4 linked regions of the Schizosaccharomyces pombe genome follow. The main gene of each other region encodes a partner of the protein of the gene in region 2 in a complex. Each region holds a gene or a part of one and is shown on either strand. Other genes may lie near its edges. The genes, in order: mrpl33, rtc6, mrpl17 and mrpl40.

Region 1 (8,428 bases), on a different chromosome or scaffold from region 2:
AAAGCACCTTTGTAATACAAATAATAAAGCTAGCAATATATTTAGGCTTCACTTTCAGGGTTCATTTCACGCAACAGAATAGTGGCGTCTTCATTCACGTGCTGTCTGATCTCATAACCTAATGATGATTAGCAAACACATTTAATGTGATTTTTTTTTTTTTTATCATCAAATTTACCATAAAATGCTAGTGTTCTTTTCACCAAATCTGTAGAGCAAGATCCCGGTTCCACTATGTTGTCAGTATTAATTTTGTTTAGTAAACAACAAACCTGTTTCAGCAATGAATATGAGAATGCTTGATACAGCCATGAAAGTGAAAGCGGATGCCGAGCATTTCCACCCCCATCGTTGATCACCCAAATGTGAACTCAATTTGTTTTCAGCTTTTAATAAAACCAAGCAAAATAAAGAACTTTTACAAAAAGCAAAAATCATGTTTCTCCAATTTTTTAAAAAGTGCTTGATTCCTTTTCCGCAAGCCTTGGACCAAGTTTCATAGAAGTCTCATGAGTTAGTGAATGAAGGTAAGATTAACCACATTGTCTCACTTACAAGTCAAGAATATTAAAGCCAAAGTGCAAACAAGACACCAAAATCCAAATAATGTCCATTCCGCTGCACCATAATTTTTAAAAAAAGCGTCCTTATACTTTAGATAACAAAATGCTGGAGCATTGAATAGAATGATTGAAGTGAATGATATTAGCAGTATTATCAACAAAGGGGAAGAATTATCTGTCGTCCCATAAGAATGGTTTTCTCTATGTGTGTTAAGAGGATTATTTACAAGTGCATGATCTGTTTAAATTAATATAATGAAATACTTTAGTAAAGAAAGAGCATGTATCAAAGTGTGTGCATTGCATGGCCGACTGTAAACAATGACCAAAGCATGCAATTTGACAAGATGGCAAGTTTCAACTTTCAATTGAGTAATTCCTTTCTTATTATTTACAATTCTTACCTGAATATGGTGGTAACGCGCCCTCTTCCTCCGAATCATATTCTGGGAGTGGTCCTTTTTCCAAATCGATTTCATGATCTGTCTTCAATTCATCTTCTTCATCTAGAGGACTTTTCAAAGAAGTGTAATTATTCTTCATTTCATCAAGATCATTCTTTATTTAATAAAACACATGCGCGAATTAATTGCTGTGATTGCGACAAACGAAACAGCGAAATCAAGAATATTCGCTCTGTAGTCCAATTCCAACCACTTCAAAGACTTTTTAACAAAATAATAAAATTGTTCAAACAATGGCATAAAAAAAGAAGAACGAAAAAACTGAACGAGGCAGTGGATTGCTTCTGACACATTTATTCTGTCACTGCCCTTTTTATTCACCCCAACTTAAATTTCCTTATAAATCATATTGTAAACATCATTACAGTACGTTGTGTATCACTAATTTCATATGTTAGAAATATTTGGCAAATCATGTATCTAAATATAGACATCAGTTGATAACAAAGATTAGGAAATTTATAAATGGAATTACGGCTGCCTCTCACTCCTCAGTTCAGTTATTAGCTATATTGGTAATTGATACTATTAGACATCCTTATAACAATAAATATAATAGTATTAGTTAGCATAGCGTATACCGCTATACTGTAGTTCGCAAGAGAGTCACTGCAGTTCAATGTATCGTTAAACAGATATCAACTGCGTAGCTGACATATTTTTGTGCATAATTATAATTCATTATTTATGATTTGATAATTTCGTATTTGTACTAAGAATTGGACGAACGATGAGCGATGGTATTAGACAGATGAATTTTATCCTTTATCATTTTCTGTCTTTTTGTTTGTGTACTGTTTCTTTTCTTTTCTTCTTCTCTTCCTTTTTTTTTTGTAAAGACTGGCAAGTGGAATTTATCAACTGTATTATAGACTGTTAGTTGCAAGCTCGACGAACTTACGAATTGAGTTTATAATTATATTTTAACAAACTTGCACTTTTAAAATTCCTATTTTAACTAGTATGATTTGTAAGTAAGCCTTTAACATCACAATTTATACTGCAAATGAAAAAACCGAAACAACTGATGTTACCATCGAATAGTAGGTTTTTTAGGAAGAATTATTTAACGAGAAGTAATTGTATAAAAAAAATTCTAAACTTTTGGTTACGAAAAACGATCTAGGTTCCTTCGATCACCCAGGTCTGCTGAACTCTGGTAGATAAACTATCTTGAAGAAGCTTCCCCAGAAACCTGTCTATTATACATTCAAGTAATGTACAATCATTGAAAAGTTTTTTTTTAGTGTTCAGTCGAGTGCGAATTTTTATTAAAAAGCGCTAAGCAAGTTTGGCTTAAAAAAAAAAAAAAAGGATTCTTCTTTATTATTGCTTCAAATTTTATTATACTCGAGTCGTTAAAAATATAAACCACTACGAGAAAAGAAAAAAATTGACCAACATTGTAAAAAAACTTATTGTCTTATAGGGTACAGGTTCCTCCTTGCCTCTTCAGACACGACGTCCCATATGGTAGTACAAGATAAATGGAAGAGAAAAGCGACATTAGCGTATAAAAAAAAGCATGACATTCATGATGCACCTGTAAAACCTCGTAAAAAAAATTTGGGAAATAACGAATGGAGATTTAAAAATGCAGGGGAATACTTTGATGAAGATAACAATGAGGAAGAATATCCAAGTTTGGAAAGTTTGAAGACCGTGGGGAATGGAGATACAATTCAAGATGAAGAAGAAGATTTCGAGTATTCAAAACTACAAGCACGGCCCCTTACTGGTTTGGGAATTAGCAACCAAAAACCCAAGTCCAAAGTTCGGACTATCCAACGTGAAGAAGTAGCCGACATGTTGGAGAGCGTTGAGCATGAAAAGTCAATTCAAGAATTCCGTAAGCGTTATAATGTACAAAAGCCAAAGGTAAACATTAGCCATGCTGAAGCGGAAGAAGATATTGATTCTTTTCTTGAAAGTATGGATCAGTCTGCTCCGCCTTCCATTACAGAAGATAAAGGGGAAAATTACATTTCTTCTAATCATTCCAGCATGCATATTTCAAGAAACGACTCTAGGAACTATATGTCTGAAAAGCCAAACAAAGACCAAAGTTGGTTAGATGAACTATTACGATAAATATAACTAGAATGAAAATTTAACTTTCAAACATGTTATTCAATTCTTTTAAACCGTTATTGTATCGATGTATCACTGTAAATCCGCTACTAGAAGCAAGAGACTTCTTTTCTTGCCCAGCGGCTAACTTTTGTTTCACAGTACTGACACTAACGAGTTCTTTTACTTTAAAAATTCTTCCCGCATTGATTGGATTTACATCGCAATAGACTACGGAGTGTCTTTTTGTTAACCTCAAAGAATGCAAAACGCTGCGCACCTTACTAAAATATTGGTTAGCAATTACAAGCATGTTTTTCTCGTTTCCAAAACACGTACCTCGAGAGCCCGATGGCTGACCTTTCTAAACGAACTCGAAAGAATGACATTATGGTAAACTAGAAGTTCGTGGAGTCCGTTTAACACTAAATATTGAAACTCTTTTAGTTCAACCGATAAAATACAATTCATATCGCAAGCTCGTTATTGTTCACTATTATTCACTACGTTGCTATCTATTTAACGATACATTGAATTACGATGAATTTTTTGCGATCCACATTTAGTGGAATGCAGTATATTAACTACAATGTTATATTTATTGTTATAAGAAGTCTATTAGTGTAAGTCACCGATATGGTTAAAAAATGGAGAGGAGCGATTTACAGTAACATCTATAATTATCATCTTTCTAGTAGTTGTAATCACATGGTGTCTATGAGTATAGACGACTACTTATCTGTTTACTGTCAATAAACGGATCTTTACTAATATTCCAACATGTAACATATAGTGATACGCAACCTAGTAAATCATTAGTGTAATGCAGTATTACCGATATATCACAAAAAATTATGTTAATTGGTATTACGTGTCTGCTTCACAATGCTAATATCATATTAACGATGTTCAATGGATTATTATTTTTAAGATGTGAAATTTGGCTGGGATAAAACTTTTTCTTTACCAAAATGGCACTTCGTGCTCAATTCGAGAATTCTAATGAGTAAGTTTACTCAGCTTTTTTGCTTAATAGACGCATGATATTAACAAATTATAGGATTGGTGTCTTTTCTAATCTCACAAACTCATACGCACTTGTAGCGCTTGGAGGCTCTGAAAACTTCTACAGGTAAGCTTAACGTTTATTTGATGCCAAAATTTAATGTTCTAAATGTAAACGATTCAAAATTTTTTTAAAGGTTCTTAAAATCCTTAACCAGTCGAACGTATTATGAGAAAAATAAATAGCACATATGTGAATGATGTAGCCTAACTACTCTTTAATTGAGTAAAAGAGACTTTGCTACATAAATGCAAACCACTACTTAAACTCTGGCGGTTTGCTGTTCATTACCTTTATTATTCCTTGACTCGATGCAGCTCGACAAATTATTTTTTTTGGCATTTTTTACATTTATCAACTTTTCACTAACTTTTATAACAGCGTGTTCGAGGCAGAGTTAGGTGATGTTGTACCCGTTGTTCATACCACAATTGGAGGAACCAGAATCATTGGTCGTTTGACATGTGGTAATAGAAAAGGTCTGTTAGTTCCCTCTTCTACCACCGATAATGAACTACAGCACCTCCGCAATTCTCTTCCAGATCCTGTCAAAATCCAACGTGTTGATGAACGACTTTCAGCTCTAGGAAACATTGTGGCTTGCAACGACTATGTGGCCCTTGTTCATCCTGATATTGAGCGTGAAACCGAGGAAATTATTGCTGATGTCTTAGATGTTGAAGTTTTCCGTCAAACCGTTGCAGGCAATGTTTTAACCGGTTCGTATTGTGCATTGAGCAATCAAGGTGCTTTGGTTCACCCTCGTACTAGCATTCAGGAACAGGATGAATTGTCATCACTTCTTCAAGTTCCTCTTGTTGCCGGTACCATCAACCGTGGTTCCGATGTTATCGGTGCTGGTCTAGTTGTGAACGACTGGTGTGCGTTTGCTGGACTTGATACTACGGCTACTGAATTGGCTGTCTGTGAATCTATATTTAAACTTCAAGATGCTCAACCTTCTGCTATTATAAGCAACAGAGACACTCTTGTTGAGTCTTATACATAAGCAGTCGGTGTGAGCTAACTAAAAAATTATTGATCAGGATTTATGAGTTTGGATAATTCATCCTACGTGATATTTTCCTATTAAAGTTTTAATGTTGATACGTTATACGTATGTATCTGGTTATAAAATTTTTGATATGCCTTTCGGTTTAATAGTCCTATCCATTGTGGTACCCAAGCTTCCTATTGTAGAAATTTACAATACAAGTTTTTTATAGACCATTATAACACTTAAGGGACTTCCGTAATCGTGTTTATTTTTATTATGTCAAATAGATTTTGAAAATGCTTTTATTGCTTTGCTTTTTGTCTGTTCTTAACACATTCGGATTTGTTAAGCTATTCTCGCTTATAGAGTAGAGCTTCTTGCTAACGCTGCATGAGACTTCGTACTTCAATTTACGTGTTTTATTAAGTAGTTTGCAGCCTTTATATTAAAAATGATCTAATAAATATACTTTCTTTTCAGTCTTTGGTGACAAACTAGTTATGGAAAGTATTTCGATGTAGGTATTTTTTGACTGAAACCAATGCGTACTCCGCAAGCGAAATAAATATTTAAGAATAAATTAAGTTACCAAGTAACTATACAAAGTGGGGAAGTAGAATAGACTACAATACTCATAGATATTTATATTTAGCAGTAAATAAAACTCGTAAAAGATTGTCATTATCAGGATGTTTTGATTAAAACTTCCACGGAAACTAAGGCCCAGCTCCAAATTTTGAAAGTAAAACCCCTAATTAGGGAATAAATAAGTAGGCAGAGCACCTTGAAAAATAACTAGATATTAAACTTTAATACCATTTGGTACTTGATTTTCTTCGTCGCTCGAGTTCTGTACATCATTGTCGGCTACGTTGCCTACAGTGATCAAAGCTTGCTCAACACTTTCTTCTGCACTAGCAAGGTCGATGATACGACGCAAATAGGTAACATTACAATCATCTGGTATCTTTATTTTTTCAAGAGATGGAGATTCCTCAAAACTATCTTGTAGTCTATAATCCAACACTTCGTAAGTAAGTTGTTCCCTTTGATTGATGCCTTCAGCAACAATATTTTTGGACAATTCAGACATAGTTTTTTTCGGTACATGAGCCTCGTAGTCAGCATAGTCATAACGATGTAAGAGTGTTTTTATTTGCAGAAAATTAAGAGCATAAAAGTCGCGGACCCTGGCCACATAATTTGGATCATCTTTCACAAATTGTAGTATCTTGGAGGTTTGTAAAAGCTCTTCGAGCTGCAAATAAGCTTCCGGAACACCACTTTCTAGACACCAATCCTTAAGAACATGATAATTGTATGAAATATTGGTACCACGTTTCCAAGATCCACGTTCATCAATAAAAAGTGAATTGAATGCCTCCACATTAATGAATCGATATATGCTTCTAATCAATGCATTATATATTTCATAATTAACTTTATAGGCCTGACAAGAATCATGCACCTTATTTAGTACATGTATTACATCGGTGATTTTGTATTTTGGTTTCTCAAAAAATTTAATCCGTAGTTTTCGATTCTCATCTCCAGCATCCGTATTTGTACCAGTAATAATCATTGCCTGAACAATCAATGGCTTTAAAAAATTATTGACTTGCCTAACCCATTCGAAAAAGATTTTTGACAGATGTGATTCAATCATCTCAAAAATGGTTTGCACTGATTCATGAGATTCGGTGGATAAAAGAGTGAAAGCCGAGGAATGTTTAAACGCCTGCTGCTTAGTATAAACAAAAGCCAAGAGCGCATGTGTATTTGCAACCCAAAATCCGATGTCAGGTCTCTCATTAGCAGATGATGTCTTTTGAAATACGTATTCTAAAGTGTGGACACAGTAACGCTCAACCAAGGCAACACTTTCCTGACACAGATTTGATTTCCACATTTGTGATATTATTATAAAAAGTAGTTTTGCTAAAAACAAATGATCAAGTTTCTGAGCCTCAACATCGTTGTCCTTTAGTAATAGAGTTTTAAGAGTTGTAAATGTTCTACCTGCATATTCTGTGAGTTTGTCAAGATCGTGCTTCAAGCCATCGTTCATTAATAGCACAAGCATCTCTTTTTGAGTACGCATTTCCATCAATGAACTATCACGACGTGATTTCTCTTCCGAATTGCGCGACTGTTCGATACTAGAGGCCGAATTCAGTATTTTAGTGGCTTTTGTCAGACTAGCAATTATCCTGTTTTTCTCTTTCAACTGAGAGGTTTGCTCAACAATAATCATATCGTAATTTTTAAGCTGCGACTTCAAAGTTGCATTTACTCTTAAAAGTTCGGTATTCGCATCGTTGACTTGCCTCATCTCCTCTTCCATCATAATCAAAGCGTTTTCTTTCTCTTCAAGTAACTCCTTTAATTCCCCATCTTGAGATTGATCCGATATAAGTACCCTAGTTTGCTCAAGTTCTCTTTCTTGTGCTAACTTTGCTTCAGCATAGTTGGACAGATGAGACTCCAATTCAGCGATTCTTTCCCTGAACTTGTTATTTTCCTGCTCCGAGTTGTCCAACTGTTTTGAAATCTCAAACAATCTGCTTTCAAGCCTGTAAGATACTTGCTTAAGGTGACTCGCTTTAGTGGATTCAATTTTTAATTCTGTCAATTGTCGCTTTGCAAGTTTCATCCTCCAAAGAGACTGGATACGAACTGCATAATATTGTAGTTCTTTGTAGTGCTTATGGGCTTTAAATGTTAACCAAAGACTTTGAATAATTAATGTTGCATCATGCTTTGTCTTTTCCTCTAAAGTCTGTCTTAATAAAAAGCCTCTAATTATACTTTGCACTTTAAGTATAGAATTTTTCGTTTGTATGAATTCTTTTCTCTTTAATGCAGTTCTCCAAAGTGACTGAAGTTTAATAATATTGGAAGAAAGTAATTCGTACTCCGTATGGCGACGAGATAAGAAACCATGAGCAACGGCTTGAAAGCTCCTGACTCTCTTCCGAGACAGAAGAAAACGAGTCCTATAGTAATTAACAGCAAACGCTTCATACAAAAGATGTGCTGCATGTTTCAAAGCTTTGTCTCTCGCACTCTCTAAAAGGGGCGTCACACCTGAACGAAAAAATATTTTAGTTTTGCCAATTTGATATTTAGTCGGATCAGCATGTTTCTCTAAAATTGCCTTGCTAAAGGTCAAAGACTCCGTAGTTCTTACGGCAGAGGGAACCAACATGTAATAACGAGAAACAAACTCATCAAAAGTCCAACGGGAGGGAAAACCAGCACAAGATAT
Region 2 (3,962 bases):
CTACCCCGATTCCACACATGGTACATGGTATTCCTTGGCTTCAAGATTTATATATATTTCCATCTCGTACAGTAGATGTGAATTTCGAAGGTCCGCCCCTTTCCCAGGAAAGATTGTATAGTATTTTTAGGACATATGGAAAACTAAGATCCGTGACCATTAATTCACCTACTTCTGCTACTTTGAGTTTTTCATCGCTAAGGTCCGCTACGTCAGCTTTAAACTGTATGCATGGTTTTGTTTATGGGAAAACAGAATTCCACATGCGATACAGACATATGAACCGCTTTGTCGCCTTCAAAGACTGGTTATTCTCTCATCCTCGTTTTACTATTCCTTTGGTTGCGGCGGCTATTACAGTTTTAACGGCTTCTTTATTCGATCCGATAAGAAAGTTCTTTGTCGAGACAAACATTGTACATGGTCAGAAGTTGAGAAATATCAATGTTGTTGGGTGGGTCAAAAAGAAAACTCGCGATATAGTTTTGAGTCCCTTTCACGAAAATGGTACAAATATAAAGGCACCGATTTGGACAACACGTGAAAAGGATTGTGAACAGTTGAAAGAATGGTTGGATGAAGCATTACATTCTTTTATTGTTGTTCAAGGTCCTCGTGGTAGTGGTAAGCGTGATCTGGTAGATCGAGTTGTTAAAGAACGAAAAAATGTTTTGTTTTTCGACTGTGATCGCTTATTCTCCACTACTAATACGGAAATGTTCGTAAGTACTCTTGCTAGCCAAACGGGGTATTTCCCCCTCTTTAGCTTCCTAAACAACATATCGTCACTTATCGATATGGCTGCACAAGGTCTCATAGGACAAAAAACGGGAATTGTTTCTTCTAGTGAAGGACAAGTGCGGCAAATTCTTAACACAACACAAACGGTATTGCGTTCTCTAGCATTACGAGAGCATAAAGAAGCCGATACTAGTGTGTTGGATGAATCTGAGTTTTTAGAAGTTCATGCAGATCGCTTACCTGTTGTTATTCTCGACAATTTCCAGCTTCGTAAATTATCAAACCCGATGCAGAGAGTGGTTGCTGAATGGGCTGGTAATTTGGTAAAGGAAGGAATTGCTCATGTACTAATGCTAACACCCGATGTTGGAGGCACCAAGTCATTAGAGCAATATGTCAACGGTTGGGAAAATAGAACATTGTTATTAGGAGATGCTGACCCTGTACTTGCTCAGCGATATGTCATAGAGTCTTTACCCGAAGAGATGCAAACAGAAGAATTGAGGAAAGAATTGCGGGTCCAATTACCGAAGATTGGTGGCCGACTTCGTGATCTTGATTATGTAGCTCGTAGGTTGCGGGTTAATTCTTCCAGTGTTTCTGAAGCAATTGGCGGTATTGTAAGTCAAAATGCCTCTGATATTTTGCAAACATTTTTACGGCCTGCTTCTTTAACCAGTGAGGAGAAGCCAACGTTCACTCCAGAAGAGTCATGGACCTTAATTACTTATTTATCTCAACATGAATATATACCCTATCATATGTTGATGCTTGACCCACTGTTCAAAGGACACGACGATGCCGTTCGTGCCTTGGAAGAATCAGAATTGATTACTATTACCACAGTGAATGCAAGACCGGATAAAGTCTACGCTGGAAAACCTGTATATGTTACGGCTTTCCGGCAACTTGTAAATGATCCAGTATTAAGTGCTAATATGCAGTTGGTGAGATGTAACGCGTTAATTGGCATGGCTAACAATGCTATCAAGAATGATGAACAGGAGCTACAAATGCTAAAGGACCTTGGGAACCTTGAATCAGGTGTGAAGGATCGTGCTCATTACTTAACGACGCGTATCCAGAAAAATCAAGGTGTTATTACTGATAATGAGAAAAGTATAGAAAGGCTTACTGAGGCTTTGAAAAAAATCGACTAAGATGCGAAAGCATATCATTTAAGATTACGTATGTTTTTATGAATTCTTTAGCATGAAGCTATAATGTCAACAATAATATCACATTTAATGACTACGCATTAACGAGAGAGAAGGGAGTAAGGATTTGGTAGGTAGTCCAAAAATCGTCGTAATATGAAGTGAGCGTAATGAAGAATTAGCCTAGGTAGAAAAAAAAAGAAGAAGCGAAACCGGTTATAGTCATTAACCTTGACGGGTTTTATGTCTCGGATGTTTTTTGCATAGTACATACAACCTACCTTTGCGACGCACAAAATAGCAGGATGAACAACGCTTTTTTACTGATGCTTTCACTTTGAAACCTCTTGAAAAGTTCCAAGGTAGAAGGCTAGGAGAAAGTCTGAAAGCAGGGGTTAAGAACATAGATGCATTTTTTAACAACCCTTTTTGTGCATTAAAAGCAGAAGGGAAGACTCGTGACAAAACACCCACAGCAAAAAATTTACGACCTAATGAAGCCATTATAAGTTAAAAAAAAAGTGAAACTGGGACTTCAAGTCAAGATGTTTAAATTTTTTTGGATCCGAAGTAATTCTGAGCTAAATAAATGATGTACGATGGAAAAGTGTTCACAATTTGGACTGAGCCAAAAAAGAACGATAATAGAAAATGCCTATCAACAAGAGAAGATTTTCATAAAAAAAAAAGGTGAATACTAAGTTATATAAACTCGCTTACGCCCGATTTGTTGGATATTCTTTGTTGGGAAAATAAATAGTAGTTAGTGCTTCTAGTAAGCTAACCTACGACATGTCAGTTAGTGACAACCAACATGTCTTGTTATTCTATAAATTCAATAGCCAGCTTACTGTGGAGCAATTTGACCTGAAATTTATCACATTATTTTAAAATAAGGAATACTTTTATTAAAGTGGAGTCAACTCAACAGTGTAGCTCCATTTTTTGTTTACAAATGAAAATTTTAATGTTGAGTCTCTGACCTTCTTAGTCCCTAAAATAGCTAATTGACCGCATCATCTAATAACTTTGATTCTACGTTATTTGGTTTGGCATGCTAATCGATTAATTTGAAATGATCAATTTTTGAGAATTTGTTTATGTTTTTAGTTGCTGGTATAACGAGTTCGTTATACTTTGCTAATTTGGGTATGGAACTGGAGTGCAGATGCGTCATTTGCCTTGGTAAAAGATTGTTAAAGGAAAATTTAGCAAATCCCACGAATTGGTGGATGTCTCAAAAACACCAAAATATTCAATCCAAAGGCTGAAAAATAGATTGCTATGCAGCAAAATGTTAAAGAGAAACATGCTGGCAAAAGTGACACATCAGTGAGTTCTTTGGAGTGTGAAATCGATTATCATATCGAAGGGTCAGATGGCATACCTGTTGTGGAACCAGTAAGTTTACGCGAAAAATATTAAATATTTTGTGGATGTTAACAAAATTTGTTTAGAAAATTTCAGAATTTGTAGATATGGAAAGTTTTATTCGGCGCGTTGAAAGGCTTGGCAAGAAATACGGCGCAATTAAAGTTGTTCGTCCTAGTTCTGTTTTAAATCCTTGGAACGAAGATACAATGAAACCTTCCGATGTAAAAATGGATTTATGGTTAGAGCGAATGGTGAGACGGAAAGGAGAGTACTTCGAGATTCAAAGCGATATAGACCATGGCTCGGCTGGTCCTAAAAAGCCTACCGATATGAATGTCGACGACAGGTTTCCTTCAAACGCTGGAAGTTCTAATGACTTTGAAAACAATGTGGCTAAAGCTATTGCATATTATTGGCGTTCTTTGACCCATGACAGTCTGTGGTATGGATATACTAATCGCCCATCGATCCCCTTCTATTTTATACCTTCGATATCTGCTGCTCAAAAAGATAGGGTACATTTAAGATCGAATACATTGATTAACACTTGGCCAAATGTTGGTCACTTATTTGCTGGGAAATGGAAAACTACCCTTCCTTGGCGGGTAGAATCTCCTGAGCTGCATGCAGTTCAGGTACATTTAGGTGGCTCTTCATTGCAATGGTATGTGATACCTTCAGCACATAGTG
Region 3 (9,221 bases), on a different chromosome or scaffold from region 2:
ACCGGTTTTTGGATTTACGGACAAGTTTAATGGTTATGGCATTTTTATTGATACGTACAACAACCATCGTCCGGGAACTTTATTCCCTCGTGTAATTGTGATGAAGGGGGATGGACATACTCCTTATGATTATGAAAACGATGGCAAAGCCAATGAGATTGCAAGCTGTTCTGCTTTGAACGTTCGCGGAAATGACTATAATTTGGGTAAACTAAAATATGACAAAAATGCCAAAAAGCTACGTTTTGAAATTGCTTATCAAGGTTCTTCTAGCTTTATTAAATGTTTTGATCTTAATGAAGTCGAATTACCTCTTACCACCTTTATGAGTTTCAGCGCTCATACTGGTGATTTAAGTGAATCCCATGAAATTGCCAGTATTTTGAGCCGTACAATTACCGATATTGACGATGAGGGAACTCCGGAAATTCCTGCTGAGGAATTGAAAGGTACTACTTATGGACAGAAGAAGGGTTCCTTCAAAAAGCGTCTCATTATTTTGCTCCTCTCACTTATTGTCATCTTTTCCATCTTTGCCCTTCGCTCTTATCAGGTTCAACAAGAGAAGAACCGTCGTACGACCGTACTTTAAAGCAAAAAGTCTTTCTGCGAATTTTCTTTCTTTCCGCAGCACGATTTTCATATATCTCAACGATATTGATTTCCATATCGTCTAGTACTTTATTTTCTCATAAACCCATACTTCTTCCTTGCCACGATATGTTATGTATTAATCGCCTTTTCTTTCACCTCTTCATTCTCTTTTCATTCAATATGAAATTAACATTACCATAATAAAGTATCGTTCGTTCACATTTCTATATCTTCCCTATAATATATGTGATAATTCTTTTTCTAAAATTATTCTTTCACTTTCAAACTCTTTAACCGTTTAAACTGTTCCTTCCTTGTTATTAAACTATTCATTTCCACTCTGCTCCCAATACTGTCGATCGATCACTTTCATTATGATAATGTAGTACAGTGGAAATTGTTAATATACTTTACAAATCTCTCTCGTTTGCGTAACTTCAAAATAACGTTAGTAAACTCGTTAAACAAAATGTTGAACCCCTTAAAGAGCCAGTTTTCCTTCTCTCCTTCTACCATCACCTTCGTTGTATAACTACTGCTTTACGCCCCCACCACCAAATGCCCCGTTGTGGTTCCGGCCCCCACATTAATGAACGCTGAAGAAGATCCAAAGCCGGCAGATTCTGATAGCTCTGAAGAGTGTATCATCTGTCTTAGTAATTTACCAAATTGTCCCTTAGATCAATGGGATTCCAGTAGTGTTCCCGCTTCGATTTCGTCGACCTTGGATGGTCTTCGAATTGCGAAAATTCCTTGTGGACATTATTTTCACAACCACTGCTTGGAATCATGGTGCAGAGTTGCAAATACATGTCCTCTATGTAGAACGGAGTTTCTTAAAGTTGACGTACTTGAATTCGTGAAGGGACCCTGGTATCGTGCATACCCTGTGGAGGAGAAAACCCAAAGCGTTGCCAATGCTGGCGAGCCGTTTGAAGACGAAGGTTCCGAAACCTGTCGCTGTGTCATATGTGGCCGCTCTGATCATGCTGAGGTGCTTTTGTTGTGCGATGGGTGTGATGATGCATATCATACATATTGCTTAAACATGGATGCAGTACCTATAGAAGAGTTCTATTGCCCTAATTGTGTATTGTTAAACTATCAAGAAAATGAAACACTCTCTTCACGTATTTCTCTTTCTCGAAGAGGCCAGACAAGACGCAGAAGGGTAGGAGCAGCTGCTCGTGCCTCGCGAGTTTCTCAACAACAGCAGCGTGCATGGACACGTGCTTGGAATGCCATTAGAAATCGAGCTTGGGATGCATTGAATTCAGATCTCTCATATTATGGTATGCAACAAGAACGACTGCCTGCTCGTGACGTCTCGTCTGAACTTTTGCGACGTCGTATTGAGAGTGCACGTCTACGTTCCAACCAGCTCAATGAGCCAGTTGAGCAGCCACGAGTAGTGCAGACACCAGTAACGAATGCTTCTGAGCAGCAAGCATGGAATGATTTTGATGAAATTCTACATGCGAATTCATCGGTCCACTCCGTTGCCACTGAGGCTACCATTAGTAACCCACGACCTTCGTCGGGTCGATTTCAGCAAACGCCTATAGAAGAACATCATCAACAAGATACTCGATTTGTGAATGACCCAAATTCCACGAGTCACGACAGGAGGCAAAAGCGACCTACTCGTCGGCACATTCCTTGTTCTAATAAATCCTCAGGATCTTCTACAGTATTAGGCAATAATTCATCATCTAAATCAGAGAATTCTTTTCTCGCTAGTTTAATTAGCAACATCAACCAGCCAAGCACCTCACGAATAGATACTTCCTTTATGTTAAGTTTACAACATGAGATTAAGAATTCTCACTCTGAAGCTTCGGATGGAACTTCAGACGTTCACTTGACTCCTCTTTTCTCAAATCTCTCTCCTCGACCATCTCACGTACCGCTATCACCTAGGGAAATCAGTAATGATAATTTGGATGACCATTTGATTGAACTTTCGGAACCAGGAGAAATTGTGGATAATCATTTAGTTAATGATACGAGTATGCATCAACGACGCACTTCGGGCCGACATGATTTGGTGCATTCCAGCAAAAAAGTCTCTTATGAAACGAAGTATCGAATAGAACGGCTAGTTAACGCAGCTCTGAAGCCTTATTATCGAGAAGCAAAAATATCTAAAGATCAATTTGCTCTATTCAATAAGAATATCTGTCGATCTGTATACACTGCGTTATCGGATGGTACTCTGTCGCTTGAAGGACCTCAGCAACATAAAATAAGCAAGACAATACGGGAAAAGGTTGTTAACTGTATACAGTCTCTTTCAAATGACTGATTATGAGTTATGTATTTATGATAGGAGTTATGGTTTGGTGCATATGCTTTTAATATTATATCATATCTAATCTTTTGGAAATCAGAAAGTAACTTTTGAGGTCAATTACAATTTCCAAAAGAGTATTTATTTTGTTAATGAAGGATAGTGTTTCTTTAATGTTTGAACAATATATGTTTGCAAGATTAACACTCGTCAAGAATGGAGTCTTTAAGGATTTCGCTTTTAGAAAAGAGGAAACAATGTATAGATCTAGTGATTGTCTTATTCTATTTATTGAAGTATAACATTTTGCATTGCAAAGTGAGACCGTTAATATAGCATGCAACGTGTGCTCAATATAGGCGTTGGTAGTATATTTTGTTTTAATTCGAATTTGAAATGTCATGAAAAAGATTGATAAACTAAAAAGTCTGTAAATTTGAAACCGCAAAAAATTGTATATACTTGCTTAACGTCTTCTAGGGGGTCGAGGTCTCGAAAAACCAGTTTTGGTGGTGCTTGTTTCTGCTTGAGGACTTGATATCCCAGCAGCATGAAGAATTTCCTTTTCAGTTATATCAGCGGCATCATTCGATTCAATCTGTCATGTGAGCATAAAATCTACTACGAGGGATAAACATACCTTGCCATCAATAACAATACCCAATTCTGCTTTAATACTATCCAAAAGACCAAGTTTGGAAGAAGAATAAACCATTCGATGTTTGACAGTTGCTTGCATTGGACAAATGTATATAAACACTAGACCTTGTTAATAAAATGATCCTGCATCTGTACTTACAAATTTTTGAAGAGCCGTCTTTTGGCAGGGAATAGAAAGCGAAATTAGGTTCGGTGGAAGAAAAGAAGGATTTCACATCAGAAGGAGGTATATTTTGCTTTTCTTGACTTAAACTTATGACTTCTTTGTCAATAGACTTTTAAAGGAGGTTAGCAACACCATACATAGCAAAAGTATCATAGCTTCCTTACCAAAATAACAAGATTGTTTTCTGTAGATGATTTTAAATCAGAAAGAGCCTTTAAGGCTTTATCATCAATCGACATAGCAACACCACGGGTCACCAAAGGACGCTTATGAGTTACTGAGGATTGCATAGACTACATAGTTGTTAAAATAGATGCAAATAAAAGAGTAGAAGCTATAAATTCTACGAGCCACGGTAAAGAAGTATGAAAAATCCATCCACCCCAATACAGTTTACCTACCTCATTGTACTCTTTCCTTTCGAGTTCATCTTGTCGTAAAGGACTTTGGTCCTCTTGCTTGCTTAAGCTCTTCATAATTTGCTGATAATCTAACTCTTCCGGAGTACTTGCGAAATAAGACTCGTCGAGTTTAGCAAGAGTTACGCATCTTACAAATGCAGCACGACTAGAGGCATATAACATCTTCCTGCGAACATTCGCATTTTCAGGGACATAGGAAATTAATTGTAATAGATTTTTCTTGCTATCATCATAAACGAGGACAAATGCAGGTTCTTCAGATCCGAGCAAACATTCACGGACTTTCTTAAAATCAGATTCTATCGATTCTGATTTTTCAACCATTGTTTTCACGTCAAATGAATTCTCTAAATCATTTAGTAACTTCAACTAACTTAAAATTTACTCTTCTAGCCCGAATGGAAACTTACCATTAGAAATGCTAATAATGGCGGCGCGAACCGGTACCGAAGAGTACTCCTCGAGAAATTTACTGAACTTCTCTGTAGCTATCCACACGTTAGAAGAATTTAGCCAAATTTCTTACGTTTTAATTCGACGGAAGCAGACATTGTTATGGGGATTGAAAGGTTTACTGCGTCAGCAATTCCCCATTCTAAGTGAGTTAAATTGAATTATAACGAAATCCAAAGAAATCTATTAAAACATATTAACGATAGCAACAGAGTCTCTAAGAAATATTACAGTACTTAACGAAGCGTGTAATGTACGCTGGTAAAACAGGTGGTAGTGCTAGCCATAGCGAAACGTCGATTGCCTTTACCAAGTGGTCTTTACCGGATTAGTAAACAAAGCCGAAATTTGGAGATTTACTTGGCGTAAATTGACTAAGTTTAAACAATGTACTTGAAGAGAAATATTATAAATATGCAGAGGTCTTTTTCGCGTCAATTTCACATTTCTGTACGAAATTCCATTCAATCCTCTAAACCCTTGTCTAACTCGACTCCTCTAAAAGGTACAGAATTAAAAAATGAAAATGAATTATCTAGGGATATTAAATATAAATAAAAAAATTACCTTTGATGTACATGATTGCTAACATATCTTAGGTTGTTCAGTGGGTACAATTTTAATTAGATCGCCAATTCTTACTCGCCAACCATCCGAATTCGAAAAATCTATATATAAATATAATGCGGAACTTTGGAATGAGCTGAGTGATCCTTTACCTGCAGAATTTTATTTCAAGAAGGGATCGGTGGGTGAAAAAGATTGGCAAGAACGACAAAAAACACTAAAAGGTAAAGAATCACCCTTTGAGACGATATTTGGAAAGGAAAGGAAAGAGATGGAGTCTAACAAATTATTGGATTCTGCAACTCACTTGCAATCCAGAGTCACAGAAGCTGATACGAAAAACGATGAGCGAAGCACTCTTCGCTCGCTTGACAAGTCCCTTTACTTGTTGGTAAAAAAATCTAAAAGCTCGGGTTGGCAATTTCCTAACACTCCTGTTACAAGCTCCGAGAAGGCGCTGCATCTGGTAAGTACATTTTTTAAAATTCGATTCCAAGATACACAATATAGTGCAAGAGACTACTTACTATTGATTTGATGCTAAATAATTTATCAAATACTCTTGCAATTTTTGTTTACATAGTCTGCAGATTGGCCTTTCTAACAAACTGTAGTTATGTCAAGATCTTTTAAAAAATATATTAGACGAAAATTCGTTGACTTGGCTAGTTGCACGTCATCCATTAGCATTACTAAAAACGGAACAAGAAAAGGTAAGACTACGGATTTTTTGTTCTCATTTTATCTGGGTTGATTTTTTGTTTAACCAGTTATTTCTAGACCTTCTTGTTACGTGCTCGTTTATTAAATGGATTAGATGTACCTAACCTGCAAAACGTTTATGACTGGGTTTGGTGTACGTACGATGAACTGAAAAACAAACTTTCTCCTTCTTCATGGGATTCTGTAAAAAACATACTTTCCGATCGTTTGTAATCTTCAATTGAGCAAACAATATGTAAAATCTACGGAAAATAAACAGCGGAACATTTCATCTTGGAAATTCAATCTTTCTACAATCTTACTGCATTTTTCAGCTTAATTTTCACGTTTTCTATTTTTTTCTCTCCTTAATTTTTGATGTTTTGGTACGATGTAAAAAAAAACAAATAATTTTGGAATTTCACTAAGTATTTCTCCTTATTTATTCTATCTTTTTATTTGCAAATGATTCTGCCAGTATTTTATTTTCAGCCGCCTACTTTTGGAGTCCGGATTTCATGATTACTCACCCTCATGATCTGTGGATTCTTGGCAGTGTACGAGAAAACGGGAAAAGCGCGCACCTTAATAATAAACTATGTTTAGCTCAAGGGACCTAAAAAAATAGAATTGTTAATCAAAATTGATATCCGTAGTTTGTCCTCAATTCCAAGATCAAAAATTCTTTTGTCAGTCATAGTCTAGCCCTTAAAGACAATGTCTGTATAATTTAGTAATTATCAGAAATGATATGTGTCAGCATAATCCTTTGAAAGTTCATTAGAATGCAATTATAGACTTTGCTTTCTGGAAGCATTAAACCGTACATACACTTGACTTACAGATTTAGTCCCACTACAAAGGAATTGACAAAGGGCAACTTTGTAGAATTCTGTTTATAAACTCGGTTCTTATCAATAAAATGTTAACAGAACAACAGACTTTGGAGTTATTTCCAGAAAATTGGGAAAGAAATGAGCAAGTTTTGTTGAAATACCCGGATGGGTTACCCAAAGATGTACTCGCTGATCAAAGAGTTGATAATACAGAATCACAGGTAAAGGATGAAATAACTTCTAACATTACGAATCAAACTCAAATTTTACTACCTGCTGATTCCTTTCCTCAGTATGGGTCATATCCTAACAATTCAGAACTCGATTATGTTGTATGCACAAAATGCGACCGACCCTTCCTATCAGAGTATATTGAGGACCATCATAGCTCATGCAATGGAATTAAACCTCCTAAGCCTCAATTTGAGCCTGTTGCGAATTCTCAGGTTTTAAACAAAGATGTCAACAATGGCAATAATGCACCCATCAAAAATGGTGTTAAATCGACAGCTAAGGGCTCAGCTGGGAATCATGAAAAGAATTCAGTTAATGGTCAAAAGAATCCTGAAATGCCTCCAAAACGTCGGAAGACAGAAGAAAACAAAAAGCCTACAAAATCCGCCCTTCCCAAGAAAGAGGCTAGCAAGAAGAAGAATCCAAAGGTCAAAGGTATGTTGGTTTATGCTGTTCAATATGGAGAATGGAGTACCTGTTTACTTTAATACTAACATTCAATTAAGGTCCTGTGGATGTTGAAAAGCAATGCGGTGTTTTGCTTCCTAATGGGCAAATGTGCGCCAGATCTCTCACATGTAAAACGCATTCAATGTCAAGCAAACGAGCCGTTCCGGGAAGATCTCAGCCATACGATGTTTTGCTTGCAGCTTGTCAAAAGAAAAACCAAGTAAAAATACAACGACAAATCCTCGAAACTGCAAAAGAATCCGAAGATAATCAGCATCAAGCGCCTGTTGATTCTGATGAAGAAGTCAGTTTCATTATGAATGTTCTCCAGAAATCTGGCAATCAGCCTTTGGAGCAAAAAGTTTTTTTACCCGTAAAACGTCGCCATTCGTATTTTCGTACTAGAGAGTTAATAGCTGCTGCATTTCGACATGGTGAGCAGGGTATGCAAGTTACTGGTACTATATTGGGACGAGTGATTCCTTTTAGTGCCCGCCAACCACTATAAAGAAATTCTTTTGATTTTGCTTCGGTTGATGATTTAAATTCTTTATGAGATTATAGTTTACATTTTGGTCTACTTGACCACGCATTTTCGACTTTTTAATTTTCTCCTCCGTTCATCTAGTTTCTATTTCATTAATTTTTTCATTTTTTATTTTGTATATTGCACCATACGGTCTTAACATTTGGAATAATCAAGTAGAAGTTAATAAACTATAAAAATACCAATAGAACCCAAAACCAATAATCAATTCTAAAAAAAAGAAAGAAACAAGTATTCTCCAAAAATATATGTACACGTTTGTAGTCTAATTTTTTAAAAGAAACAGCAAAGTTTATGGTATCAGTTTGTTGCAAATCCTCAGTCTCACAATCAATCCTTTAGCCCTCTAAATCATCCTTGTTTTCAGCCGAATCTTCTTCTTCATCGCTAGAAAGAACATCAGGCAATTTTGAGGAAACCTCTTGCGTCTTTTCAGTAATGCCTATATCTGATAAATAACTGAAATCTTCTTCATTATAACTGTCAATAAAAGACAAAAAACAATGAAATCTAAACCGGTTAGTTAATTTAAGAAAAAAATATACTTACACTTGTTTACGAGCTTCTTCGAGAAAAATTTTATCATAAATATGAGCATGCTTAAAAGCAGTAATTTTTTGCTCGTACTTTGTAAAGTCGATAGGATCACGATTATTCTCTGGAGCTTTATGTTCATTATAACCTTTAAAAAACGGTGACTCTAATAAAAGTCCAAAACCAGGTCCCTTGGGTATGTTAATTTTTGTTTTTTTAAAGGCATCTTGTATGCGCTCAACAGGACAACCCGTTCGTACAACTAAAATAGCAAGCGCAATCATCTTTCTAATTTGGTGCAACATAAAAGATTGACCATGAACTTTACATGAAATCCATTCTGTATCGCCAATCATGAATGGATCAGATGCCTAGAATGTTAGAAACAAGACTTGTCAAGAATACTATAAATACAAAGAAGATAATTCTTACTTACAGTAAAAGAACGGATCACGCGATTACTATTCTTCTGATGAAATGCTTGCCCCACAGTAAAATTGTGAAAGTTATGAACTCCAACATATTGGTTTAAAGTTTCTCGAATAACGGACAGCCTATCTGCGGAAATACGGTAATTTTTTAATTTAAGTACTTCAATGTGCTTAAGTGCACGTTCGAGACGATAACTGGGATCAATCTTGGAACCAGCAGATTCGTCTTCAACAGAGTCAGGCTTTAAAAACTCGTTTACAATAGCAGAGGAATCGGAATCCATATCTGGATTAGTTTTAGCGGAAACTCCTGCTTCAGAGCCCTTATTATTTTC
Region 4 (9,034 bases), on a different chromosome or scaffold from region 2:
ATACCGTCGGTACTCTCGTTACCCGTGCTTATACTTCAAAGGAGAGCGACACCTTTATGGGTATCATTTTCGGAACCGGTACCAACGGTGCTTACGTCGAGCAAATGAACCAAATTCCCAAGCTTGCTGGCAAGTGTACTGGTGATCATATGCTTATCAACATGGAATGGGGAGCAACTGATTTCTCTTGCCTTCACTCCACTCGTTATGATTTACTTCTTGATCATGATACTCCCAATGCTGGTCGTCAAATCTTTGAGAAGCGCGTTGGTGGTATGTATCTCGGTGAGCTTTTCCGCCGTGCCTTATTCCACTTGATCAAGGTTTACAACTTCAACGAAGGTATTTTCCCTCCTTCCATTACTGATGCTTGGTCTTTGGAAACTTCTGTTCTTTCCAGAATGATGGTTGAACGTTCTGCTGAGAATGTTCGTAACGTTCTTAGTACATTCAAGTTCCGTTTCCGCAGCGACGAAGAGGCTTTGTACCTTTGGGATGCTGCTCATGCAATTGGCCGTCGTGCTGCTCGTATGTCTGCCGTTCCCATTGCTTCTTTGTATCTTTCTACCGGCCGCGCTGGTAAGAAGAGTGATGTTGGTGTTGATGGTTCTTTAGTCGAACACTATCCTCACTTTGTTGACATGCTCCGTGAAGCCTTGCGTGAGCTTATCGGTGATAACGAAAAATTGATTTCCATTGGTATTGCCAAGGATGGCAGTGGTATTGGTGCCGCTCTTTGCGCCCTCCAAGCTGTTAAGGAAAAGAAAGGCTTGGCCTAAATCATGTTAGATGTCTGTTAGCTTTTTTTGAATTGTACGTAGAAATGAGCATGTAAATATGAAATTGCTTTTTAACAGCTTTTAGTTAAGATGTTTTTTTTGAAAGTGAATTTATTTCCTGGAATTAGTTAATAGTATGAAGATTGAATATCAGATGAATTAAAAAGCATGTTGTGATTGATGTTATATGTCTCTTTAAAACAAAATTGTGGTTGTGTATTGTTATTAAATTTGTTACGATTTTGTTAACATTCCAAAAAAGAGTACGGAATTTACAAACATTACAGGACATCTCAAAGATGTGTGTGTAAATTGATTCTAACAAAAAGAAATTTGATTTTTTTTAATCTGAGTTTGTAAAAAATAAGATTCATCATACCCTATTATCTCAAATTTATGAATTATTCGGGTTCAAGATAAAATCTTCTTTTTCTTTCAAGAAATCCAATTAACCAAGATTTGTTAAAAAATATTTTTCTCATCGTTTAGTAAATTTTTCTGCAACGTTGAACGGTGAAGTTGTGCTAGCAATACTGCATACTATATAAATAAGAACCGGAAAGCGTTTTCCAACACCCAAAAGGTGTTTTTTATACTTTATTCAAGAGTTAAAAATTAAATAGCACGGTAGTAAAACCAAATTGAACAAATTAAAAATTGAAAGCGTCTCAAGTTTAAAATTTATTTAAAGAGCTTATATCAAAAAAGTAGAAAACTTTCCAAAAGGATTTCTCAAAAGAAAATCCTCCTCATTTTAATAAATCATTGTTTAGATAGATTTGGTTAAATTTTAACCAAAAGGATTATCTATTTGCTAATTTTTTAGATAACTGGAAATTGCCTAATTACACAATCTTTTTTACCTTTTTTTGATGATTGTATGTTTAAAGGGGATGTAGTTCAACTAAAAAATTGCTTATTAAACATGCAAGAGTAAATGATTATTGAATATGTATAGTTGCAACAAGAAGCAAGGTTGCGAGAAATGACAAATGGGTTGACTCAACTTTTTTCTCATTTAAATTTTTGTTTCAGTCATTTTAATAAGGTCCTTGTGAATCGATATCAAAAGAGGAGGTGGAATAATTATAAAGATAACGTTTCTGAATATCATGGTTTTCGAAAAAGAAAGTCTTTGAGGTCATGAAGTTTAGGCTGCTTTCGGTTTTTTTACTCCATACTTGCTTCGGGATGTGACACGTCCCGCTACACCAGCAATGTCATAGACACCCCGAACAACATGATATTGGACTCCTGGACAATCCTGTGCTCTGCCGCCTCTTAACAATACCACAGCATGCTCCTGTGCATTATGACCGATACCTGGAATGTAAGCAGTAACAGAACGGCCGGTTGAAAGGCGTACACGGGCAACCTTTCTTACTGCCGAATTAGGTTTTTTGGGTTTTACTGTAAAGACCCTCGTGCACACACCCCGTCGAAACGGACTTCCCTCTAAAGCAACAGATTGCTTATTTGTTTTTTCAGGACGTTTCTCTTTATTTCTTATCGTTTGATTTAATGTCTTTAACATAACTGAAGAGCTAGAAAACGCTTGAGCCTGAAATGGTGAAATAACTGTTGGCTTCATCAACCTTGAAATTACCGGATATCGAGCATATTGAGCAAAACGGATCATTATTTGGGGAAATTTAATATTTGAGCTGTATAAAATCTCAAAAATCACTATAATAGATGCTTGAGCAAGGAATTCCGAAGTTTGTACCCGAACGTCGCTGGTTTGGTGTTAGTGTATGTATATTGCCTTGGAATAGAATATCTCGCAGCATTCATATTATTCGATGGGATACAAAAATTTATTCTTTTATATTTTGACAAACATTTTTGGGTATAACTAGCGTATTAAATATTTTTTCCTCTAGGAATTGAACTTTAATGGACTAGTCTAAAACAGATGCAGAATGTAGGTATGCTAATCGACAAATTTACAGTACAGTGTTAAGCTGAAAAAATCAACTTAATTCATGACTTCTACTGAAAAACGTACTGGAAGTAGATTGTATTGAGGTTTAAGCTTCGTTTTGCCATGCCATTTTCAGTTGATGATAGTATTTATTACAATAACTTATCCATTCATTAAAACTTTAAACACTGATATGGATTTATCAATGTGTTTGACTACTTACATGAAACTTAGCAGAAAAATTGAGCATCAGGCCTACTCCATATAAAGCTTTGACTTAAAACTTAATATTTTCTACTTGTTAAATGTCTTCGTTTGGTTACATATCTCCATAAATGCATATGCTTTGTTTGGCTTAGCTACTGAAAATTCAGAAACAATTAAATGAACTCCGAATTATAATCTATATTTTTTTTATCAGTGTGTGAAATTGAAGGGGATTTGATGAAACACTTCTTTTTTTGAAATATCGTACTGGTGGCTTTTCCTAGTGTATCACGACTTACTCTCTTAATTAGCTTCATACCACTGAACACGTTTACTACTACCGCATTTTTCTCTACTCAGGTTTTTTAGCTTTTAAAGGAAGGTTTTATGTTAATACTTTTGAAAATTAAATTTTTTTCTATCAACGTGAAAAAATTCAAGGAGTACTTTAGTTTGTGTTGAAAAGTTTTTTGGCAGATGCGTTCTACGTTACAATTAATGGCTAAGGCCTCAAAGGGAAAGCACCAATCTGGTCCTTCTAATCATAGTGAGTCAATCGATTTGGTTAGAAAAGCTCTTTACGGAAATAAAAAAGTCAGGTCTTTGAAAATGAATCCAGACATGTGGGAAAAACACGAAGTTATTAATCGCGCTTGGCGTATACACGAATATCGACAAGAAAAACAAAGAGAGAATCTTCTAAAAAACCAATTCTCTGCAATGAAAATTGCTTGCGAGGAACTGAAGCATACGAGTGAAACATTATATAAAGCCGCAATGAGCGATTCAATTAACAGGAGGTTCCCCGTAGAAACGAGGACTCCTACGGACACACCACCACGGCTTTCTAAATAGGCGAGCGCCTTTTATGAGTATAATTAATATCTTCGGTAGTGCTCGAAAGTGTTATAGACAAGTTCAAGTATATAAAAAAATGTATCACTAATTACGAGCAAGTATAATCTAATTAGGATTTTTAAATAAACCAATAATTGAATTAAAGAATTATGTCTCCTAGTTTCTAGTCTACATGTATCATATTATTCATTCCCAATTTCACCGTAAACGAATGATACAAAATGAAAGGCCATGCTTTCTTTTTTAACCAAAAATTTAGAATTGTTACCAAACCCAAACCCTACCTCGAAAACAATAAAATATGACCCAAACACTGTTTTCTTTTTACAACGTGTCGCAGATGAGACAAAATGTCTTTAAAGCCAGAATTTACGTCTATCTGATTCTTCACCGGCATTGCTCTCGAAGAAAACCTCCCCTTCTTTCCTATCCCATACTCCTTTTTGAACCATACGAAGACGCATGGTAAATCGAGGACCTAATTCTTGTAGCCCAGTTCCAATACCATCTGGCATATTCGATTTTTCACGAAATGCATAACGGTGTCTTCGAAAAAAAAGAAAATCTCTTTGACAATGGATGGTAACAACTTGTCGCCCTTGAATTTGAGGCGTTTGAATAAATAATGATTGAAAGGCTCGAGCAACAGTCATACCAAGTCTCGTTGAGAAATTGTTGATTATCAGTTCTGGAATATGACCAGTGGAGCGGCCATGATTTGAAATTTCCTTTGCTGTTTGGAGATTCGATAAGGTAAAATAGAACGAAGGGCCATTCGGTAAGTGTACAAGGGTTAATGCATTTGTTTTTTTACGATCCTCATTTAATACCAGTAAATCGGTGTAACCACGCTTAGCAGCGGCTTCTGCGATTTCATGAACTTCAATATCTCCGGTTCTTTTTCGAAATTCAGCATTAGGAAAACAATCTAAAAGCTCAGATGCAAAATCATAGCATTTTCTAGAGGCTCGTTTACTCGTGGTTACCAAAAGTTTCGGAACTTTCCTTTCTTCACTAAAGTATGCAGAAAACTCATCATCTTTTAACTCCGCCTGAAGTTCCTCATCGGGTTTATCCTCTATGATAGTTTCATCATAAACTCGTTTCGATTCAATAGTAGCGGGAATATTTTCTGAAAGTCGCAATCTCTTCTTTTCCGGGTCTTTTTCTTCTTCTTTAGCACGTTCTTTTCTTCTTTCAAGCTTGTCCTTATTTTTTTGATGAAGAGCCTTCATATACTGCTGTTGGCGGACAATTTTGTTTTTAATCTTCCCCATTTTAATAAGTTGCGTATAATCTCTCAAAATTTAAAATTTAAGAATGAAATAATTTAAATCCTTACAAAAAATTGCAACTAAAAAAAATTGAGATAAGAATGAGCAACTTAAGTACAAATAAAAGAGAGTTAAAAAAAAGTATACGATGGGTTTGAAGTCTCAAAAACTTATTGCACAATCCAATTCCATGTCGCAAAATACCGAATCTGAAGAACATGCTACGAATTTCGTCAAATTTGCTTAAAAGTATTAACGCAGTATTATATCACACTGCTGTTAAGCAAAATGTATACTTTAGTTACAATTACTGTTTGTAAATAGGTGATATTACAATCCGAAATCGTACACTATAGATATCCTCATCATTAAATTGTTGAACAACTGAAAGCATTGTGGTAAGGGTTCAACATTCTACAAATCACTCACGCTACTTTCATTTTCACATTTGAATGCGTGCTTTGAATGGAACTAGCAGAAATGAAAGGGACGATAGTCTTTTAATTTCATTTCTTTACTTTCTTTTTACTTTCTTCTGAACTGAATTGCTATATTGATAAATTAAATAATGTTCTGGATAACCAGAACGAATCAGAACGTGTCTTTTAATAGCAAAATTTTTCAAAACCAAAAGCCAATGAACAATGTAAGCAAAAAGGAGGAGGAAAACAGATTAGGGAATTCATATAGAGCGTATTTTCAGAAAGGTTATTTGTATACCTTTTTAAGTCCTAGCCTCGCTCATGTCGAGTACTTGAACCATACCTCGGTTTTTGGTCTCATTTCGGACAAGTTCATCTATCAACTTATAATTCCCTGGAATCACGAGAGCTATGCACTCATATTCATCATCAATGTTTTCTTCTTCAATTTCATCAGCTAAAGAGCGTAAACGCTCTCGTAAAGCTTTTCCCTGTTTGACATCCACCACTATTCTGATGCGCATACGCGCACGGACGATAGGAATTTCGTTTTTTTCTTGCAATTTCTTAATAGCTTCCAGAGCTTGGGACTTTGCAGTTTTACTGGTAGAGACAGAAAAGCCACAATCAGATAATGCTTTTTCAATTATAGATGCTGGATAAGGTCGTTTAGAATTAGGATCCATGCACATCGCAGTAACATGGGAGACAATATCGCGATAAGTTGAAGACATTTGATGATGTCTTTCCTTTTCACCTACTTGAAAATCTCCTTTTTGCAAAATTTCTAAAATAATTTTATCTATATCATCTGTACCAAAAGCCTTTTTCAAATCCTGTCGGCTAGCTACATGTCCTTTAGAAACATTGTTAAACACATTGTGGATTTGTAAAACTTCATCCAGATCTGTTTCACTAAACTTGGTTAGCTATGGTTTTGATCAAAAAAAATTGTACGAGTTATTGAGTTGTTGACACCAGTCGACAAGACACGTGAATTCAAAAAGATAGCTTGTTATAATTTTCTGCTGATCTTAAAGAATATTTATCTGTAGCAAAGGCTGACTCTCACTAATTACAGTAGCTTAATTTAATGAAATCATGCATACATTTTGTTTCTCCATTCTGTAACTTTATTTTTATAACAAGCAACTTCAAATCTTTTCCCTCCTTTCTTATATTTTACAACGGACACATTGGTTAGACGAATTTGTCCAACAGGTTGACTAATAACCATTTTGCTCAAGATGGGTACTTTTTTGGATTATTTTTTGTTATTCTCACCTTCTCTAATTATAGTGTTTTAATCCAACGCCTAAATCTGTTAAACAGGTTAACAATCCATACACTATATATCGGTATTTAGATTTATCTGAAAATTAAACAAAAATTTGATATTTGCGAGCCTGAAAGGCAAAAGGATGGTTCCAATCATTTTTCGGATGTTAACATAATCTTGGAAAACCTTATGGTTAAATATTTAATATAAGTGCAAGTTATTTGTCGGGTTTTCTAAACCAGTTTACAAATCACGAATGATATTAGGCTTTTAAAAATTATTACCTAAATTCAGCAAATACTAAAAAAAAAGTAGAAAACAATAGAAGTATCGACTAAGTTTGAGTTATCCGACAAAACTTCAATCTTACATCCTAGTATATTAACACAACCACTTGCGAAGCGTTTCTATACGATTTCGCTTAACATTTTCAATTTTAAACTTATAAACAAATAGATAGAATGACATTGTCTTAACGAGTACACATCATTTTAATGTTGGTTAACGATGTCGAAGCTGTAGAATATTGCGTGCAAAAGCAAAAGCAAATTTTAAATAATGAAACTTAACCACGTATCGCAAAGTTGCCTTTGTGTAACAATGATCCATTTCTTTACTTATTGACGAAGAGAGTACTCAAATAACAACTGCAAACTACCAGCAGGATACACATTACTGTTTCATAGCATTCTTATTTTTTCTCTTATATTTGGCCATATTTATCCTGTCTAGAGGTTTTACTTTCGTTCCAACATTACAGCGTAGTAAATTCCTCTGTACAAGTGATGTACCACCGTTAGTTATTTAAATATTATAAAACTTTTTGAGCAGAATGAGAGACTTGCGTAAATTAATTCCAAGGCTCCGAGGCCCTGGTACTAACGTCTTAAAAATGAAAAAGCCTTTACCGTTGCATATGCGAACCAAAATACGCGAACACCTCAATAAATCTGATCCAACTGTTAAAGACGATAAATCCGCTAAACCCGAGTTACCGTTTGGAAAGCCAGCTGACAGAGTCCCTTTCTGGCATATTTTTAAAGGGGATTATGTATATGTTCATCAAGGACCTCTGAAAGGAAAATGGGGCCGTGTTGTTGAGACAAACAAATACACAAACGGTATTACCATAGAGGGGGTTAATGTGAGATCCGTCAAAGTACCAATTTTTCTTTTGCGAAATAAGCCTGAAGATAACCAAGATCCAGTAATTGATATTGCTCACGAAGTACATTATGCAAATGTGCGTCTTCTTGCGCATGCAAAGACTGACGCCGGGGAACCAGTTCTTATTCCAGTTAAGCTTAAAAAGCATTCCTCAACTAATCTCCGGTCCATTATTCGGCCTAATATTGAAGGAGTACAAATTCATACTATTCATCTTCCTCGTCCCAAGACTGAAGATAAGCCTAAAGATCCCGAAGGTAAACTCGATACTAAGAATCCAGTAGTTAGTAAAGTTACTTGGTCTCCTAGCTTATCGGAGCCTCCTCTTCCTCCGTTTGCAATTGGCGATTTACGAGCCAATTGGTCTCGCCGTTTAGATCGTATATGGGGATATAAAAAGAACAATGATGATTTTACTGAAATTGCTAAAGATCTTGTCCGAGCAGAGACTGCTGCTGAAGATTTAATAAAAAAACCCATCTCTCCTAATACTTACAGTGATTAAAACAAAAACGATGTTTGGTCGTTGCAAGCATTTTTTTATAACATTACATAATGATTCACAATCTCTAGGTTATAAAGCTTAATAAACTTTTGTAAACTCTTCTAAAAAATTTTTCAAGAAACTTAAATATATTTAACTTAGTAGAGTAAGTGATAAGTGATTTCAATGAAAGTGAAGTATTTGAAGTTTACACGTTAACCTAGAAAAACTTTTACTAATCAATGTAGAAAATCTATACAAATCAAGATCTTTAAAGTCCATTAATCTCTTGTGCGAAAATTAACGCTTTGCCAGTTCATCCAATCTGGCTTGTAAATTGTCTTCAGTCTTTAACTCCGGTACCGTACCAATTTGGGTCGCAGCATCTGGCAATCCTTGAGACAAATCGACTCCAATTTCATCCAACACTTTATTGACAAGTTCATCAGCTTCCTCTTCGTCATCTTCTTCTAAAGCATCGTCCATATTTTCATCAATCATTTCTTGTCTCTGTTCCATAATTTCATTTTCACGCTCGAATTGCTGAGTGATACGAGCCATTGCCGGTATATTCATGCTTTTGTTCATCCCTGTCAATAACTTTGTAAAAGTTAGTTCTATATTTTTCGATATTAAGGTG

Evidence for each region.
Region 1: rtc6 (region 2) and mrpl33 share a complex: the UniProt entries of both Schizosaccharomyces pombe proteins name them as parts of the mitochondrial large ribosomal subunit.
Region 3: rtc6 (region 2) and mrpl17 share a complex: the UniProt entries of both Schizosaccharomyces pombe proteins name them as parts of the mitochondrial large ribosomal subunit.
Region 4: rtc6 (region 2) and mrpl40 share a complex: the UniProt entries of both Schizosaccharomyces pombe proteins name them as parts of the mitochondrial large ribosomal subunit.

The regions. Positions count from the first base shown.
Region 1 is NC_003421.2:2,219,086-2,227,513, forward strand, and holds mrpl33 (mitochondrial 54S ribosomal protein uL30m), read right to left. Parts: upstream 3,498-8,428; 5' UTR 3,487-3,497; coding exon 3,437-3,486; intron 3,382-3,436; coding exon 3,138-3,381; 3' UTR 3,119-3,137; downstream 1-3,118. Other genes in the region: wtf antidote-like meiotic drive suppressor Wtf25, read right to left, coding at 42-118, 179-232, 273-506, 556-801, 968-1,106; SPOM_SPCC1919.07 (uncharacterized protein), read left to right, coding at 2,498-3,118; tif6 (translation initiation factor-like ribosome biogenesis protein), read left to right, coding at 4,069-4,103, 4,158-4,229, 4,545-5,172; myo52 (myosin type V), read right to left, coding at 5,963-8,428. UniProt on the Schizosaccharomyces pombe protein: Component of the mitochondrial ribosome (mitoribosome), a dedicated translation machinery responsible for the synthesis of mitochondrial genome-encoded proteins, including at least some of the essential transmembrane subunits of the mitochondrial respiratory chain.
Region 2 is NC_003423.3:1,518,089-1,522,050, forward strand, and holds rtc6 (mitochondrial 54S ribosomal protein bL36m), read right to left. Parts: upstream 2,403-3,962; coding exon 2,124-2,402; 3' UTR 1,942-2,123; downstream 1-1,941. Other genes in the region: RNA-binding protein Yme2, read left to right, coding at 1-1,901; Lid2 complex histone demethylase H3-K36 subunit Jmj3, read left to right, coding at 3,183-3,299, 3,356-3,962. UniProt on the Schizosaccharomyces pombe protein: Component of the mitochondrial ribosome (mitoribosome), a dedicated translation machinery responsible for the synthesis of mitochondrial genome-encoded proteins, including at least some of the essential transmembrane subunits of the mitochondrial respiratory chain.
Region 3 is NC_003421.2:2,121,412-2,130,632, reverse strand, and holds mrpl17 (mitochondrial 54S ribosomal protein mL46), read left to right. Parts: upstream 1-4,887; 5' UTR 4,888-4,972; coding exon 4,973-5,090; exon of another isoform or gene 5,091-5,184; coding exon 5,185-5,618; intron 5,619-5,766; coding exon 5,767-5,865; intron 5,866-5,932; coding exon 5,933-6,088; 3' UTR 6,089-6,500; downstream 6,501-9,221. Other genes in the region: SPOM_SPCC126.08C (lectin family glycoprotein receptor), read left to right, coding at 1-592; ubiquitin-protein ligase E3 Asr1, read left to right, coding at 1,184-2,899; twf1 (twinfilin), read right to left, coding at 3,351-3,482, 3,525-3,643, 3,684-3,819, 3,875-4,003, 4,112-4,479, 4,543-4,620, 4,659-4,683; SAGA complex deubiquitinating submodule subunit Sgf73, read left to right, coding at 6,777-7,359, 7,431-7,882; pus1 (tRNA/U2 snRNA pseudouridine synthase Lsp1), read right to left, coding at 8,260-8,431, 8,471-8,826, 8,892-9,221. UniProt on the Schizosaccharomyces pombe protein: Component of the mitochondrial ribosome (mitoribosome), a dedicated translation machinery responsible for the synthesis of mitochondrial genome-encoded proteins, including at least some of the essential transmembrane subunits of the mitochondrial respiratory chain.
Region 4 is NC_003424.3:2,666,405-2,675,438, forward strand, and holds mrpl40 (mitochondrial 54S ribosomal protein uL24m), read left to right. Parts: upstream 1-7,388; 5' UTR 7,389-7,575; coding exon 7,576-8,415; 3' UTR 8,416-8,534; downstream 8,535-9,034. Other genes in the region: hxk2 (hexokinase 2), read left to right, coding at 1-779; mrps12 (mitochondrial 37S ribosomal protein uS12m), read right to left, coding at 1,930-2,418; mrpl28 (mitochondrial 54S ribosomal protein mL40), read left to right, coding at 3,409-3,765; Brix domain-containing protein Rpf1, read right to left, coding at 4,125-5,045; SBDS family ribosome maturation protein Sdo1, read right to left, coding at 5,767-6,379, 6,574-6,701; ESCRT III complex subunit Did4, read right to left, coding at 8,695-8,994. UniProt on the Schizosaccharomyces pombe protein: Component of the mitochondrial ribosome (mitoribosome), a dedicated translation machinery responsible for the synthesis of mitochondrial genome-encoded proteins, including at least some of the essential transmembrane subunits of the mitochondrial respiratory chain.